2 linked regions of the Notamacropus eugenii genome follow. Each later gene encodes a partner of the first gene's protein in a complex. Links are inferred from orthologs where the notes say so. Each region holds a gene or a part of one and is shown on either strand. Other genes may lie near its edges.

Region 1 (7,889 bases):
CAGCTGCTGTCCGAGGGCGAGGTCCCGGCACCCCATGAGCTTGAGGGTTTGAGGGTCTGCCTGAGTGAGCCATCAGTTCCTTCTGTGGTGAAGTCACATGGGCATGGGGTGGGGGGCACAGGACAGCTGTTTGAAAATAAAACTTTTTCACAACAAACTAATTATTTCACTGATGTAAAAAAGGTAAATAAATAAGGCAGCTAGGAAGCTTCCCCCACCCCTGGGGGCACCAAGAAATGAGGACACTTGCTCAGCCTGTATCAGGAGCAGGACTTGAACCCAGGACTTCCTGCTTCTCTGTGTACTGACATACTGTCTCTCTTCATAAAGGTTAAATCCTCGGGATTAAATGAAAAGTCTCACTCTTAATACAAAAGGAAAATAATTTTAAAATTCTCAGGTAGAAAATGACTTTCCTGTTTCAGGCTCTGCCCTGACAGCCAACATGGTGAAGGAAGGGAAGGTGGGGGCAGGGCAGAGAGCTTAGGAAAATGCTTGCCTTCAGGGGGGGTTCCTGGCAAGGCTAGTTCCAAAGGAGCTCATCCAGCCCCAACTAAGGGAGCCTCAGCTTGGGCCCACCAAGAACCGAGGGTTTCAATGGTTCAAGTCGAAGGGAAGACCCACCAGCTACCACCTCCCCGCAAAAGGTTACTTGAGAAGAAATCCTAACCAAATCGTTAACTCAGTATCATTTACTGAAATAGATACATCAAACCCCACCATGTTACCCACTGTGTAAAGAACACTCCAAAATGGTTAAATATATTTGTAAGAGAAAGGGCCGTCCTTACCCAAGGATGACTTCACGATGGTTTTAATACCTGCATACACCAGTGACCCTTTGTGGCCTAGAGATTTCGGGTCCAAATCTTCAGTGTACTGCTTCATAAGTATTGAAATGCATAGGAAATACTAAGGCTGGCTTGGAGGAAGTTTCCTTTTGAATGAGGGCCAATCAAGACAGAACTGGTGTCTGGGCTAAGGCCACTCTAATGCCTTATCCAGACCCCTCTCTCCCTCCCACACACTAAAAGCAGCTGGGGAGGCCCCCGTCCGCCAGATACAAGGCACTTCTCTAGACAGCACACTGCCAATCTCCGCTGGCCCTCACGCTGTCAGGGTTTTCATTTCAAAGGATATAGTACAGAGTATACCAGAGTGATTTTAGTTGAGGGTCCTCGTTTCCAGCTAATACGTGGTTTCTCCAGACCTGCTCGGTATCAAGGCCGTAGCGGGACAAAGCCCGGAGGCGCATCTTGGTGGCAATGTCTTTTTCTAAAGAAGGATCGCTCCCCTCTTCGGTGCACTCATAGAGATGACGGCCACAGGCCCACATTAAGGAGGTGACTGGACTCCAGGCAAGGGAGATGCGTTCAAACACGGTGAAGTCTGACATGATTCGGTTGGGCGTCACCACGATCATTCGATTCTGGCTGGTCGGATGCCAGGCGAAGGAAGCAATGTAATTGTCGCAGGGCTGCACACTGCGCTCGATGATGGTCGGTTCGGTTTCGTCTCCGATGGGTGTGGGTGTGTGCTGCATGTCATACAGCCTGATGATGTCGCTGTCCCTCGTGAGGGTGGCCAGCAGCCCCGTCCTTGTGGGGCACCAGGCGACTTTAGTGAGAGGCTTGGGCTGCTCTGTCAGGGTCAGAACGGGCTTCTCAAATTTCCTAAGGTCCCAGATGGCCACCTGACCTTCGTAGAAAGAAGCCACGCGGTCGTGGAAGTGGGGGTCCACCATCACTCCCTGGACAGCTTTGGTGTTCACAAACATCTTTTGGCTCGTGTTCCGAAGGTCGAATATAGCCAGGTTCCTATGCATGCCAGCAAGGAGAAGTTTTTGGTCTCGGGGCAGCCAGCAGAGAGACAGACAAGCGTCATTCTGTCCCAGTTCATAAAGAGGCTTTGTCACCACCAGCCCTGCCTCAGTGTCTCCTGCTGAAAGCCTCACTTTCTCCAAAGGAACTGTCGTTTCCGGGCTGTACTTGCTACAGATATCCCAGATCAGCACAGAGAAGTCAGCCCGATGTTTGTCTAGGCCAGCGGCGAGCCAGTTACTGTCCAGCGGGTTCCAGGCCAGGGTGTTGCACTGCCGGGCATGTTTGGGGACAAACTCCTTTCCTATCAAATCCTTGAACTTGGAGTTGTGGTCCTGGCCCAGACTGGTGAGAACCACGCGGCCGTTGGCCTGGCCCACAGCCAGCAGACACTCGGGGTCGTAGCTGAGGTACCAGGCCACGCACTTCATGTAGGGAGTGTCCGAGTTGATGGACAACAAGGTGGCCGCTGTGTCCTCCGACAACCTCAAGGAGCCGGCTTTGAGCTCGGAGCTGCCCGCTGGCTCCACCTGGTACAGGCTCAGCTCCGAGTCACACACCACGAATCTGTCCACCTGGTGCGGTGCCCACAGGATGTCTGGCTTGGACCCACTCATGACGGCTGGCCTCCCGATGAGGTCCTGCGGGAAATCCTGGGCAGAAAACGAGCCTGCGGTCAGAGTGGCCCCCACCACCTGCCACTCCCCAGTGACCCCCTCCCTCCCACCTGAGGGTCATCTGGAGGGTCAGGACAAGCCTGGCCTCGGGCCCGGCTCCTCACCTGTGCGTGGCACACAGCAGGTGCATACTTAGTGTTGGTTCCAGTCCCAGTTCCATCTCCTTGAGCCTTTACTCAAGTTCAGAATTACAGGGGACGGCATGGGCCCGAGAGAACCAAGGGTCCGGTGGCGGGAGACAAGGAGCACGGACCGGGGGAGCCCGGGATGGGAGGGAGCAGCCGCGCCCCACGCCTCTCTCCCCGGGCCCTGCCCCCACCCCGCCCCAGGGAGGAAGCGCTGGCTCCAGAAGGCCCTGCAGCGGCCCCATCAGAGCCCCGGGCACCTTGCGGACTCACCTGGCGCAGGAGCCCCGGGAGGACTCCACTCCGTCCGGCGGCCTCTGGCGGGGCCTCTGCGCACGCGCCCAGCCCACTACGGAAGCCGCGTGGGCCAGAGAAAGTCATCGGGCATGCGCGCCCGCCTCCACCCCCGCCTTTCTGCGCATGCCCACTTCCCACTTCTCTTTCTGGTTCTCGTGAGTTGGGGCAGAACCTGGACTTGTGCCCGCCCCACCGGGCCCCGCCCCTCCCTCCAGGCCCGCCCCTCCCTCCAGGCCCCGCCCCCTACGGACTCAGCATCACTACCCTTCGCTTCAGGCCCTGCCTACCGTCCCGCCCCTCGCCCCAGGCCCGTCCCCGCACCATCCCTTCCCCCCTCGTTCTCTTGTTACTGCTGGGGAGGGTGGGGGACCGTGTGACCCCCAGCCCAAGGAAGGTCTGGGCTGGGAGGGGGGTCTCGAGCTCGGCGTCAGTTTCCCCCTCCTTCCCCTGCCTCCAGCCAGAGTGGCCTCCTCCCCACGACACACACAGACACAGACACAGACACACACGACACACACTCACACACAGTCACACACACTCACACACAGTCACACACACTCACTCACAGTCACACACACTCACACACAGTCACACACACTCACTCACAGTCACACACACTCACACACAGACACAGACACGACACACACTCACTCACAGTCACACACACTCACTCACAGTCACACACACTCACACACAGACACAGACACGACACACACTCACACACAGTCACACACACTCACTCACAGTCACACACACTCACACACAGACACAGACACACACAGACACAGACACACACACGACACACACACACAGTCACACACACTCACACACAGACACAGACACACACACAGTCACACACACTCACACACAGACACAGACACAGACACACACAGACACACAGACACACACGACACACACTCACACACAGTCACACACACTCACACACAGTCACACACACTCACACACAGACACAGACACACACACAGTCACACACAGACACACACACTCACACACAGACACAGACACACACACACAGACACAGACACACACGACACACACTCACACACAGTCACACACACTCACACACAGTCACACACTCACACACAGTCACACACACTCACACAGAGACACAGACACACACACAGTCACACACAGTCACACACAGACACACACACTCACACACAGACACACACACTCACACACAGACACAGACACACACACGACACACACTCACACACAGACACAGACACACACACGACACACACTCACACACAGTCACACACACTCACACACACTCACACACACACACAGACAGACACACACACACAGACACACACACTCACACACAGACACAGACACGACACACACTCACACACAGTCACACACACTCACACACAGACACAGACACACACACGACACACACTCACACACACACACACACAGACACAGACACACACACGACACACACACACAGTCACACACACTCACACACAGACACACACACAGTCACACACAGTCACACACACACAGACTCACTGACACAGACACACACACTCACTCACAGTCACACACACTCACACACAGTCACACACACTCACACACAGACACAGACACACACACAGTCACACACAGACACACACACTCACACACAGACACAGACACACACACGACACACACTCACACACAGTCACACACACTCACACACAGTCACACACACACAGACACAGACACACACACGACACACACTCACACACAGTCACACACACTCACACACAGTCACACACACTCACTCACAGTCACACACACTCACACTCAGACTCACACAGACACACACACTCACATACAGACACAGACACAGACACACACGACACACACTCACACACAGTCACACACACTCACACACAGTCACACACACTCACTCACAGTCACACACACTCACACACAGACACAGACACAGACACACACAGACACACAGACACACACGACACACACTCACACACAGTCACACACACTCACACACAGTCACACACACTCACAGTCACACACACTCACACACAGACACAGACACACACAGACACACACAACACACACTCACACACAGTCACACACACACACACAGACACAGACGCAGACACACACGACACACACTCACACACAGTCACACACAGACACACACTCACACACACTCACACACAGACACAGACACGACACACACTCACACACAGACACAGACACACACAGTCACACACAGTCACACACAGACACACACACTCACACACAGACACAGACACACACACGACACACACTCACACACAGTCACACACTCACACACAGTCACACACACTCACACACAGACACAGACACAGACACACACGACACACACTCACACACAGTCACACACACTCACACACAGTCACACACACTCACTCACAGTCACACACACTCACACACAGACACAGACACGACACACAGTCACACACACTCACACACAGTCACACACACTCACACACAGACACAGACACACACAGACACAGACACACACAGACACACACACACAGTCACACACACTCACACACAGACACAGACACCCACACAGTCACACACAGTCACACACAGACACACACACTCACACACAGACACAGACACACACACGACACACACTCACACACAGTCACACACACTCACACACACTCACACACACTCACACAGAGACACAGACACACACACAGTCACACACAGTCACACACAGACACACACACTCACACACAGACACAGACACACACACGACACACACTCACACACAGACACAGACACACACACGACACACACTCACACACAGTCACACACACTCACACACAGTCACACACACACACAGACTCACACAGACACACACACTCACACACAGTCACACACACTCACACACAGACACACACACTCACACACAGTCACAGACACACACGACACACACTCACACACAGTCACACACACACACACAAACACACACACACAGTCACACACACACAGTCACACACATACACACAAACACACTCACACAGTCACACACACAGACTCACACACACACACTAACACACAAACTCACACACACACTCACACACTCACACATACATACACTCACTACAAACACAGTCACACACACAGACACACATTCACATACACAGACACACACACACACACACACTAACACACAAACACACACACACTCACTACACACAGTCACACTCACACACAGACACACTCACACAGACACACACACTCACACACTCACAGACACACACAGATACACTCACACTCACACACACTCACACTCACACACACTCACACAGACACACAAACTCACACTCATACCCCACCCACTCCACTCTGGAATCTAGCCCAATGCAAGGCACACAGCAGGTGCTCCATAAATGTCCCTAAGAGCAGAATGACTGAATGGAAGGAGGCCTCACCAGCGCAGCCAGGCGAGGTTCCCTCCATTCCAGCCTCCTTTTGCTGCCTGCCTGTTCTTGGGCCTTCTGAGCCCTGGGGGTGGGGGTTGGGGTGGGGGGCCTCCCGACCCAGAACCCTCCACCATATCAGACTCAGACTTGGCCCTTCAGTCAATGCCCACTAGGTGGTGCCCAATCCATTCCAAGATGGCCCAGCCTAGCCCTGGTCAGGGGCAATTGGTGGGAATAATGGGAAGGCTCTTGGCCTTTGGAGACGTGCTCAGGCTGGCCAGCCGGAGCTCAGGACCCAGTTCAGAGAAGGGAGAGCCAGGGGGCCAAGGCTAGGATATGCATCAGCCAAACAATGAGAGGTGGGCCTTAATGAAACAGCACAAGGGGCGGGGGGACCCTTCTTCAGTAAGACAGGTGTTCGAGGAAGCTGGCCCCACCTCTCAAGTGCCCCTACTGCTGGACAGGTCTTGGTGGCAGATGCTGTGGCCAGTCTTCAGCCCCCCCTTCCTCACTCCCCTCCCCCACTCCCCCCTGCACTGGTCCTCTGGGCTGGCCAGAATCACTGGGATGCTGCCTGTCGGCAAACCCTTCCAGCCTGGGCTCTGAGGGACCTTGAGGATGGAAGGAAGAGGGACTTCCAGTGGAGGTTGGGGGTGGGGGTACTCTGTCCTTTCCCAAGATGCTTCCCTCCGCTTCCCTACCTCTTTCCTCCAGGACAGGAGCAGCCTTCCACTAAGTCTCCCTACCTCTGGTCTCTCCCCTCCCTCCTCCCAGCCCACCCTGTGCTCAGATCCCAAGATTATCTTGTTAATTGCCCAGCTACCTTGGTGACAGGTGATCTCCCTCTTCATCTCTGCCTCTATTTCCCTCCAAGACCCAACTCAAAAAACACACGTATTGCAGGAGGTGCTGAGACTGCCTTCTCCTTGCTCCATATCCAGGTCTATGGTTCTATTCACCTCCATTTATGACTCCCCCATAATAATGACATTCCTAGAGGAAGGGGACTGTCTCCTCAGTACTTGGCAGAGGGAGTTTTAATGAATGTTTCTTGACTAAGTAACTGATGTTACCCTTTTGCTCAATAACCTTCCTGGCTCCCTATTACTTATCAAAATAGGAACTCCTTGGTTTGACATTCAAGGCTCCTCAAAATCTAGCTCCAACCTATAATTTCCCCCTACATATTCTTTTTATGCTTCAGTCAAATTGGGTGACTCCTTGTTCTCCTGCCTTCTCCTGCTCTGTGTATACCATCTCCCTAATCTGGACCTTGTCTCCCCCAGAACAGTCACTGTCCCACCCTGTGTATCACCAAGGCAATATTCACAGCACTGGTGGTGACCATGAACATATCAGCATAGTTCTCAATCACCAAGTATAGACTCTCCACATAGAAGGCAGAAGAAAAACATTTACTTAAACACCAGAAAGCCAAATCCGTCATGGTGACCAAAAAGTTAATAAACATGATCACAGCAGAGGGCAGAGTCATTCCCAAGCCTCCCCTCC
Region 2 (6,914 bases), on another chromosome or scaffold:
CCAGGCCATACCAGTAACCTGAGCAGGACTCCAGGGACCCAAATCCCCAGCCTGAAGAGGGCTAGAAGACAAGTCACAAGCACGGCAAAACAGACCAGACCCTGAAAGAGCAGACTTAGAAAAGGCCAACTATACTCATTTTCCCAGTAACTGGAGAGAGTCAATGTTCGTGACTAGGTAAAGTCAGCATAGTAAAAATGGCAACAGTAACAAAACTGACCTATATTATCCACCAAAGCAGCAATGGATACAATATATCCCCATGGCTGTGAGTTCTACCTCTTGAAATAACTTGCATTGCTTTGCATTTACTTCACTGTGTACATCAAATCAAAGTAAAAAGATATTTTGTGGGGCAGCTAGGTGACACAGTGGATACAGTATCCTGCTCTGGAGTTCCGAGGACCTCAGTTCTAATCTGGTATCAGACGCTAACTAGAGGTGTTACCCTGGCCAAGTCATCTAACCTCGATCGCCTCAAAAAAAAAAAAAAAGGAAAAAATACTTCACCAACCTTAAATAGCATTATAAACGTTAATTATCATTACTATGTGCTAACCTCCCCCCGTACAATATAAATTCCTCAGAGGGCAGATGTTTTATTTTTGTCTTTATAACCCCTTTAGTAGTAGAGCATGTGCTTGATAAGTTTATGGAATCACTACTACTTTGCAACTGATAAGAGAGAGATGAACAGAGCACCTGGGTTCAGATCTCAGCTCTGCCCCAGGGAATTCCCTGTGAGACCTTGGGCATGTCCCTTTCCAACTTAGGGTGTCAGTTTCCTCATTTGTAAACAGAAAGGTTTGCACCGGATGCCTTTGGAAGTTCTCTTCACTCTAGATCTTGTCATTCTTCTCCTGACTTCATTTGTGGTCAGTGCCTGGGACTGAGAGCCTGGGCACCTAGGGCCTGCTCCTGGATGGGCCCCTTGTGGGGAAGTTAAGCCAGGCAGAAGGCACAGGGCAAGCAGCACCCCCAAGCACTAGGCCCTAGGCCCTGTCTCTGAGGTCACAACAGGAAATAGAAAGGGGGGGGAAGGCAGGCAGCTTCCAGTGGAGGGATCAGGCTCATCTACACCACATCTAGCCCACGTGTTGGGTCCAGACTTGGAAAATCTTGCATTTCATCTGTCTCCATCACCTGCTGGTTCCCATTTACCCCCCAGACCTCCCAGGCCCTCAGCTGATACTGGATTGATTGCAAGATGTCACCCTGGAGTGGAGGGAGCAGAGGTGGATGTGGGGGACCTCTGAAAACAGCAATTATCAGAACCTTCCAGTGCCAACGTGCCCCAAGGGGGCACAGGACATGGAGTCTGGTGGGTAAAGTGCTTTGCGCTCTCTTAAAGCTCCCCATAGCTGTGTGCTATTATTAATATTTTACTAAAAAGGAAACTGCAATCTTGGGAAAGGAAAGTGACTTAGCCAGTATCACAAAGCCACAGCAGAACTGAGATCCAAAGGGAACAGGTACCACAAGGCTGCCCCAGAACGTCCTGGACACTGTGGCTCACCCCCTCTCCAGGGTACTTCCAGTCCATTCTGGGATAGCTGGGGCAGGGACCCAGGTGCTGCTCAGATCCATTTTACTGGGCCCTGCTGCATCCACCCTTCTCTCCTGCCCCAGCCCCGGTCCACCTGTCTTAAGCATTCTGATGACAGTGTGTGCCTGGCCCACACAGGCCAGCCAAGGGGTGCCCCTTGGAAGAGTCTGGGGGAGAGGGCCTCAGGAGACCAGGAGGAGAAACTGGAACCCAGTACCTTGGTATCCTTCTTCATCCAGCATTAGGGTGTAATCTTCAGGGGTTTCTGTCAGGCTGAAAAACTTGCACCTAAGGAAAAGGGACCACTCCATGAGCCAAGGCAAGGCACTCCCTCATCCCCCCTGGATCCCAAAGTCCAGAGGCAGAGGGGAGGGAGGAATGGCAAAGGAAGGGCCAGACTCAAAGAAAGTGAGTGGACTCTGCCCAGGCTCCAGTCAAGCAGAACCGATTGGGTCCTCTGGAAACCCTTGCCCATGAGGAGAGGGTGAAGGGGAATGATGGGTACAGGGGATACCGGCTGTTCCCTAAGCTCACCCCAGAATCCCCATCCTGGGGAAGGAGGCATACAAGCCAGTCCTTTGGCTACTAGTGCAGGGGAAGGAACCACTTCCCAAGCAATTTCCCAAGAGCTGGCGAGGGTGACCCCTGCTGGTACTCATCCCTCTGACCCACTGACCCAAAGAATGCTGGAGCTGAGAGGCCCCTTAGAGATTAGAACAGCTCACAGCGGCCCACTCCCTCATTTTACCGGAGAGCAAAGTGAGGCCCAAGGAAGGTCAGCCCGCTACCATGCAGCCCAGGTGGTGCCTGAACTCAGACTTCACAGAATGCCCCAAGTGGGCTGGAAGAGCCACCATGAAGGCAGTGACGTTCAACACCTCCCCCCGCCCCGCCCCCGTTAATACAGCGAGTCTAAGAACAAGGACAAGTCCAAGCAAGCTGGGGGGTGGGGAGGGGCGGCTTCGGGGCGTCTCTGGACAAGTCACTACAGTCTCTCCGCATCTCAGTGGCCCCTTCTGTACAGTGGGGATAATAAGGGCCTGCCGAGGTGGCTCGGGAATCGAAGGCGATAGTGGGGCTGGAAGGCGAGAGGGAGCGAGGTGGTCCCCAGCCTTACCCCCAGACCCACCCAGAGCCCGAGCTGGGGGAGGGGCCCCCTCCTCTGGCCTCAGCCTTACCGGCTCCGCTGGCGCAGGAAGAGCAGCTTGACAAGCGGGTGCGTGTAGAGCCAGAGTCCGGGGCGCGCGATGCTCAGCACCCGGACCCGGTGCTCCAGGATGTGCAGCTCCATCGGGGGCCCGGGAGGCCGGGGGCTGGGAGCTGGGAGGGGGCCGCTGCGGCTGCGGCTGCGGCTGCGGCTGCGGCTGCTGCTGCTGCGGCTGCTGCTGCTGCTGCTGCGGCTGCTGCTGCCGGGCCCCTCAGCCGCCCAGCCAGCGCCAGGCCCCGGGCCCTCCTCCGCCAGAGGCTGCCCCAGCTCCGGCTCCGCTCGGCCCCGCCCCCGGAGTGCCCGCCCCCGTCACGCCCCCTCGAAACTCCCTAGGCCACGCCCCGGGCCTCGTAACGCTGGGGTTCAGCCAATACCCTAGCCAAAGCCTCGGGGCCACGCCCCCCCGGCTGGCCCATCTGGAAGGGGTGGAAGTACCGGGGTGAGGAGGCGGGCCCCACGCGCGTCCCGGGGGCCACGCAAAGCCACGTCCAGGAACCCTAGGAGGCTGCCTCGGAGTGGAAGGGCTCCGCGAGGATCGGTCTGGGCAGGGTGGTCCAGGCCACACCCAGGTGGGGTGATCCAGCCTCCAGACGGTGTGGCTGGGGAAGGGGGGCAGAGAACAGGCCCAGAACAGACCCCCAGCTCCGCTCTCCCAACTTACTCGGTTCGACGGACCCTCCCCCTCTCCAATAAGGGCAGGGGCGGACTTGGGGCCACAGGGCACTAGATTCCTGGTGGAGCACGCCGACCCACCCCCTCGTCTGAGTGTGAAACCTCCCTCCCACCCAAATACAGAGGTCACAGGCCCAACGTCCTCATTTTAGGGGCTCAGAATGGGAGAAGGGCCAAAGACCCCAAAGTGCTTCCCAAGAGCTGCATCCAGGTCCCCAGGGGCTCTTTCCAGTGCTGATCCCCCTCTCCCACCTTTTACTGTCGGTAATCGGTACGTTTTCCCCACCTTCCCAGAGCTCAGTCCACAGCGGATTCTAAGTGAAATGGATGAATACCATCCGTAAAGTAAAATCCAGAGGAAAAACCATAAAGAAGGCAGTTTGGGGGAGAAAAATGGAATATATACCAGTATGTGTTTGAAGATGGGCCAGAGATGGCAGATGGGTTTCGCCTTCAAGGACAAGAGTTCTCCTATTTCTCGGTTAGAAAAGGGGAAGGCATTCCAGGGTCTTCCCATTGGTCCAAGGGCAGGCAAGGAGTATTGAATTCTGCTCTTCACACACAGGGTCATAAAGACCAAACCCACCCTCCTTCCCCCAAGAATCTCCCTCTTGCCCAGCCACCTCCCAGATCCCTTCCGTCAGACCCAGAGCCTAAACGTGATAGAACCAAGGAAAAATTCTTGACTCCCAGGCCAAGGATCAAATTTATGTTATCTAATCCCCATTAGGCTCCCTCTGCTGGCATCTGATCTCTCTATTCGTCTTTAATTGACTGTTCAAAACCTCCTTCAGCCTCCCAGGATGCCAGGGCTTCTCCTCCTGCCCACCCCCACTCAGCAGAGGGCCTCCTCTTTGTACAAAATAAGATCTTCCTTCTTTTCTACCCCAGCCCTCCTTCATTCTCCTCAGGGATTTTATCTGATCCCATCTTCCCCTCTGAAGGACCCACCCGGCCCCCTCGAGAGTGCCCCATTCAAGCCCCACCCTCTCCAGGCTCCTCCCTCTCAGCCATCAACAAATTCTCCACAGTCCTCTCAGCTTCAGAACTTTCCACTTGACAGCTCCACTCCCTCAAGCTATCAGCTTCCAATCTCTCCTCCCTCCTTTCACAGCCAAACTCCAAAAACTTCTGCCCTCTAAGAGCCTCCCACTGTCTGATCAGTCCTGTGCAATCTGGCTTCTACCGCCCCCAGCCAAATGAAACGGCCCCCTCCAAGTCTACCCAGAAGTCCCGTAGCGGGTGTGACAATGCTCTGCTCCTGCTCAGTATCTCCACCATGCCTGGCCTCCAGCGTCTATCACCCAATTCCCCTGAGGTTTCCTAGGATCCGGACCTAGAAGAGACCTCAGGGGCAGGTCTGTAGGGAACAGAAGTTCAGGGCCTCTGACCCAACCTCTAAGGTTCTTTCCAGGGACGAACAATTATCTTTACTTTATAGATAGCAAAGCACATATTGTGCACGCGCAAAGGAAAGATCCCTACGACCAAGTTTGCCCAGAGCACAGATCTCATACTTATTGAAAATCTCATTTTCTTTCCTCTTCCTACCCACTTTCTATGGATCCAACTCAGTCCTGTTGTCTTCCAGTTTCCCAGGCTCTAAGTCCTCTATGAATCCGCCATGTTCCCCCACCCACTGGACGCCTCACATCTGTTTAGTTGGCCATTGTACTTCTCCATCTCTCAGGGGCGCCCCTCTTCACCCAATGACACCAGTTCAAACCTATATGAAGTCTGGCATGTCTAAAGAGGATGAGCATCCTCTGGGGCGAGGACTTGCCAAGTGGCCATTCATCCATCCACCTTTGGTGCCCACCTGCCACTCAACTGTCACTTGTGACACCAAGAAGCATGTAGAGGAGCCACATCCCGGTAAAGCCATCTCAGCAAATAGGTTAAACCAGGCTGAGGGTCAGTGATGGGCTTCAATCGCATCAGGGAGTCAGAATGTCCACCCCAAGTACGTGAAAACTCCGCTCCCCCCCAATCCCCAAGAAGCAGGTACCGTGAAACTCAGCTGTGGGAAATAAGACTTCCCTGAACAATGGCGGGATAACAATTTGTTCTAAAGATGAAGTGGAGCACTTAAGAGCTTGGTCACTGCTTGTCTTCTCGATTTTTGTCCTGCCCCTGGACCCCGACAACTCAGGGAGTATGGTTGACCACTTTGTGCCTGTCTGCTTCACTTAAATCCAATTCACGTGGGGGTCATCACTCTGGGATGTCATTGGTCCTTTTAAAAAAAGACCAGTCTCAGGGCTATTACGATAGCCTCCTCACTGGCCTCCCTGCCTCCAGCCTCTAAACCTCCCTCCATGTCTTAAAGATAATCACTAGGACTCCACTGGTTCCCTAATTCCGAATTCTGGGATGAAATATACATTCCTCGGGTTGAACATCTTTCCCAACTAGCCCAGTCTACTTGTTTTTGCATCCTCTGTCCAAACCCTCCATTCCAGACAAAATGACCTGTTCTACACTTTCCCTGGAATTGGATAATCTCTCTCCAGTCTTTGCAAAGGCTCTATCTATCCTGCATGCTTAGGACTTACTTCCAATTGACCTTCACCTCATAAGAAGCCTTTGTGAAGATAAAAATGAGATACTTGTAAAACATTTAGCACAGTGGCTGGCATATAATCAGCACTTAACCAATCTATAGTTTTCCTGATTCCAATTATTTATTGATCTGAGTAGCTGCTATTACTCCAGCAACTTATATGGCTCCCTATTACCCCCAGAAATCAGTCAATCTCACTCTTTACAGACTGGATCTAACCTACCTTTTCAGCCCCAAACTGGCTTTCTGGTTGGTCCAGACATAACCCCCAACTCCAATGATCGGTTTTTACCCAGGCTGTCTTCCCTACCTGGAAAATTCTACCTCCTCACCCTTTTTTCACATGCCATGTTCTCCCAGATGTCTCTGCTAGTCACCCCAACTTATACTTTCTGCCTCACCCTTCCCCCACATCCAACCACCTTGTATCCCAGAATCCCCTGCTATACAGGGTACCCCAAAAGTCTGGGTGACATTTTAAAGTTTTACTCGGTTAAAACTGCACTAAGACTTTTGGGACACCTGTCTATCTGGATGTGTTTCCCCAACAATTTGAGCAGGGCTTGCCTCACTTCTAGCCTTTGTATCTCCAATAACATAGCAGTGACCAGAACATAAAAAATGATTAATAAATTTGTCAATTGATGGAACAATATTAATAATTCCATTATCCTCAGTGGAATAGTTCATTGAAGACTGAGACTTTCCTGTTTTTGTCCATGTGTCCCCAATGGTTGACATGGTAGGAGCTTCATAAATGAATCCAAAGATGGGGCCAACAGGGGTAACAGTATCCAAGATGCCTGGAGGTCCTAATTCTCCTCCGCAGATCCAGACTTAGGGTCACTGTGGATGGGAGCATGATTAAGGTCCATTCCCAAGACCAGTTTCTATACCCACAGCCCACCCCATGGATCAGACATCTA

The links.
Region 2: the proteins of MIOS (region 1) and CASTOR1 are in contact, whole or in part, in a cryo-EM structure (PDB 9LVK), measured with the Homo sapiens proteins. The link is inferred for Notamacropus eugenii from reciprocal best matches to the Homo sapiens genes MIOS and CASTOR1. Residues at the interface, in NP_001357005.1 of Homo sapiens: Ala83, Asn84, Val109, Pro110, Lys111, His112, Ala113, Arg114, Asp134, Lys135, His136, Arg137, Asn184; in NP_001032755.1 of Homo sapiens: Val94, Ser116, Thr117, Tyr118, Gln119, Thr120, Asp121, Thr188, Tyr236, Leu255, Thr256, Ser257, Ser258, Ala295, Tyr296.

The regions. Positions count from the first base shown.
Region 1 is NC_092874.1:2,061,038-2,068,926, reverse strand, and holds the start of MIOS (GATOR2 complex protein MIOS), read right to left. Parts: upstream 3,004-7,889; coding exon 2,896-3,003; intron 2,675-2,895; exon of another isoform or gene 2,602-2,674; intron 2,474-2,601; coding exon 1,141-2,473; intron 891-1,140; coding exon 792-890; intron 1-791. UniProt on the Homo sapiens protein: As a component of the GATOR2 complex, functions as an activator of the amino acid-sensing branch of the mTORC1 signaling pathway. The GATOR2 complex indirectly activates mTORC1 through the inhibition of the GATOR1 subcomplex.
Region 2 is NC_092875.1:15,130,550-15,137,463, reverse strand, and holds the start of CASTOR1 (cytosolic arginine sensor for mTORC1 subunit 1), read right to left. Parts: upstream 3,020-6,914; 5' UTR 2,838-3,019; coding exon 2,725-2,837; intron 1,835-2,724; coding exon 1,764-1,834; intron 1-1,763. UniProt on the Homo sapiens protein: Functions as an intracellular arginine sensor within the amino acid-sensing branch of the TORC1 signaling pathway. As a homodimer or a heterodimer with CASTOR2, binds and inhibits the GATOR subcomplex GATOR2 and thereby mTORC1.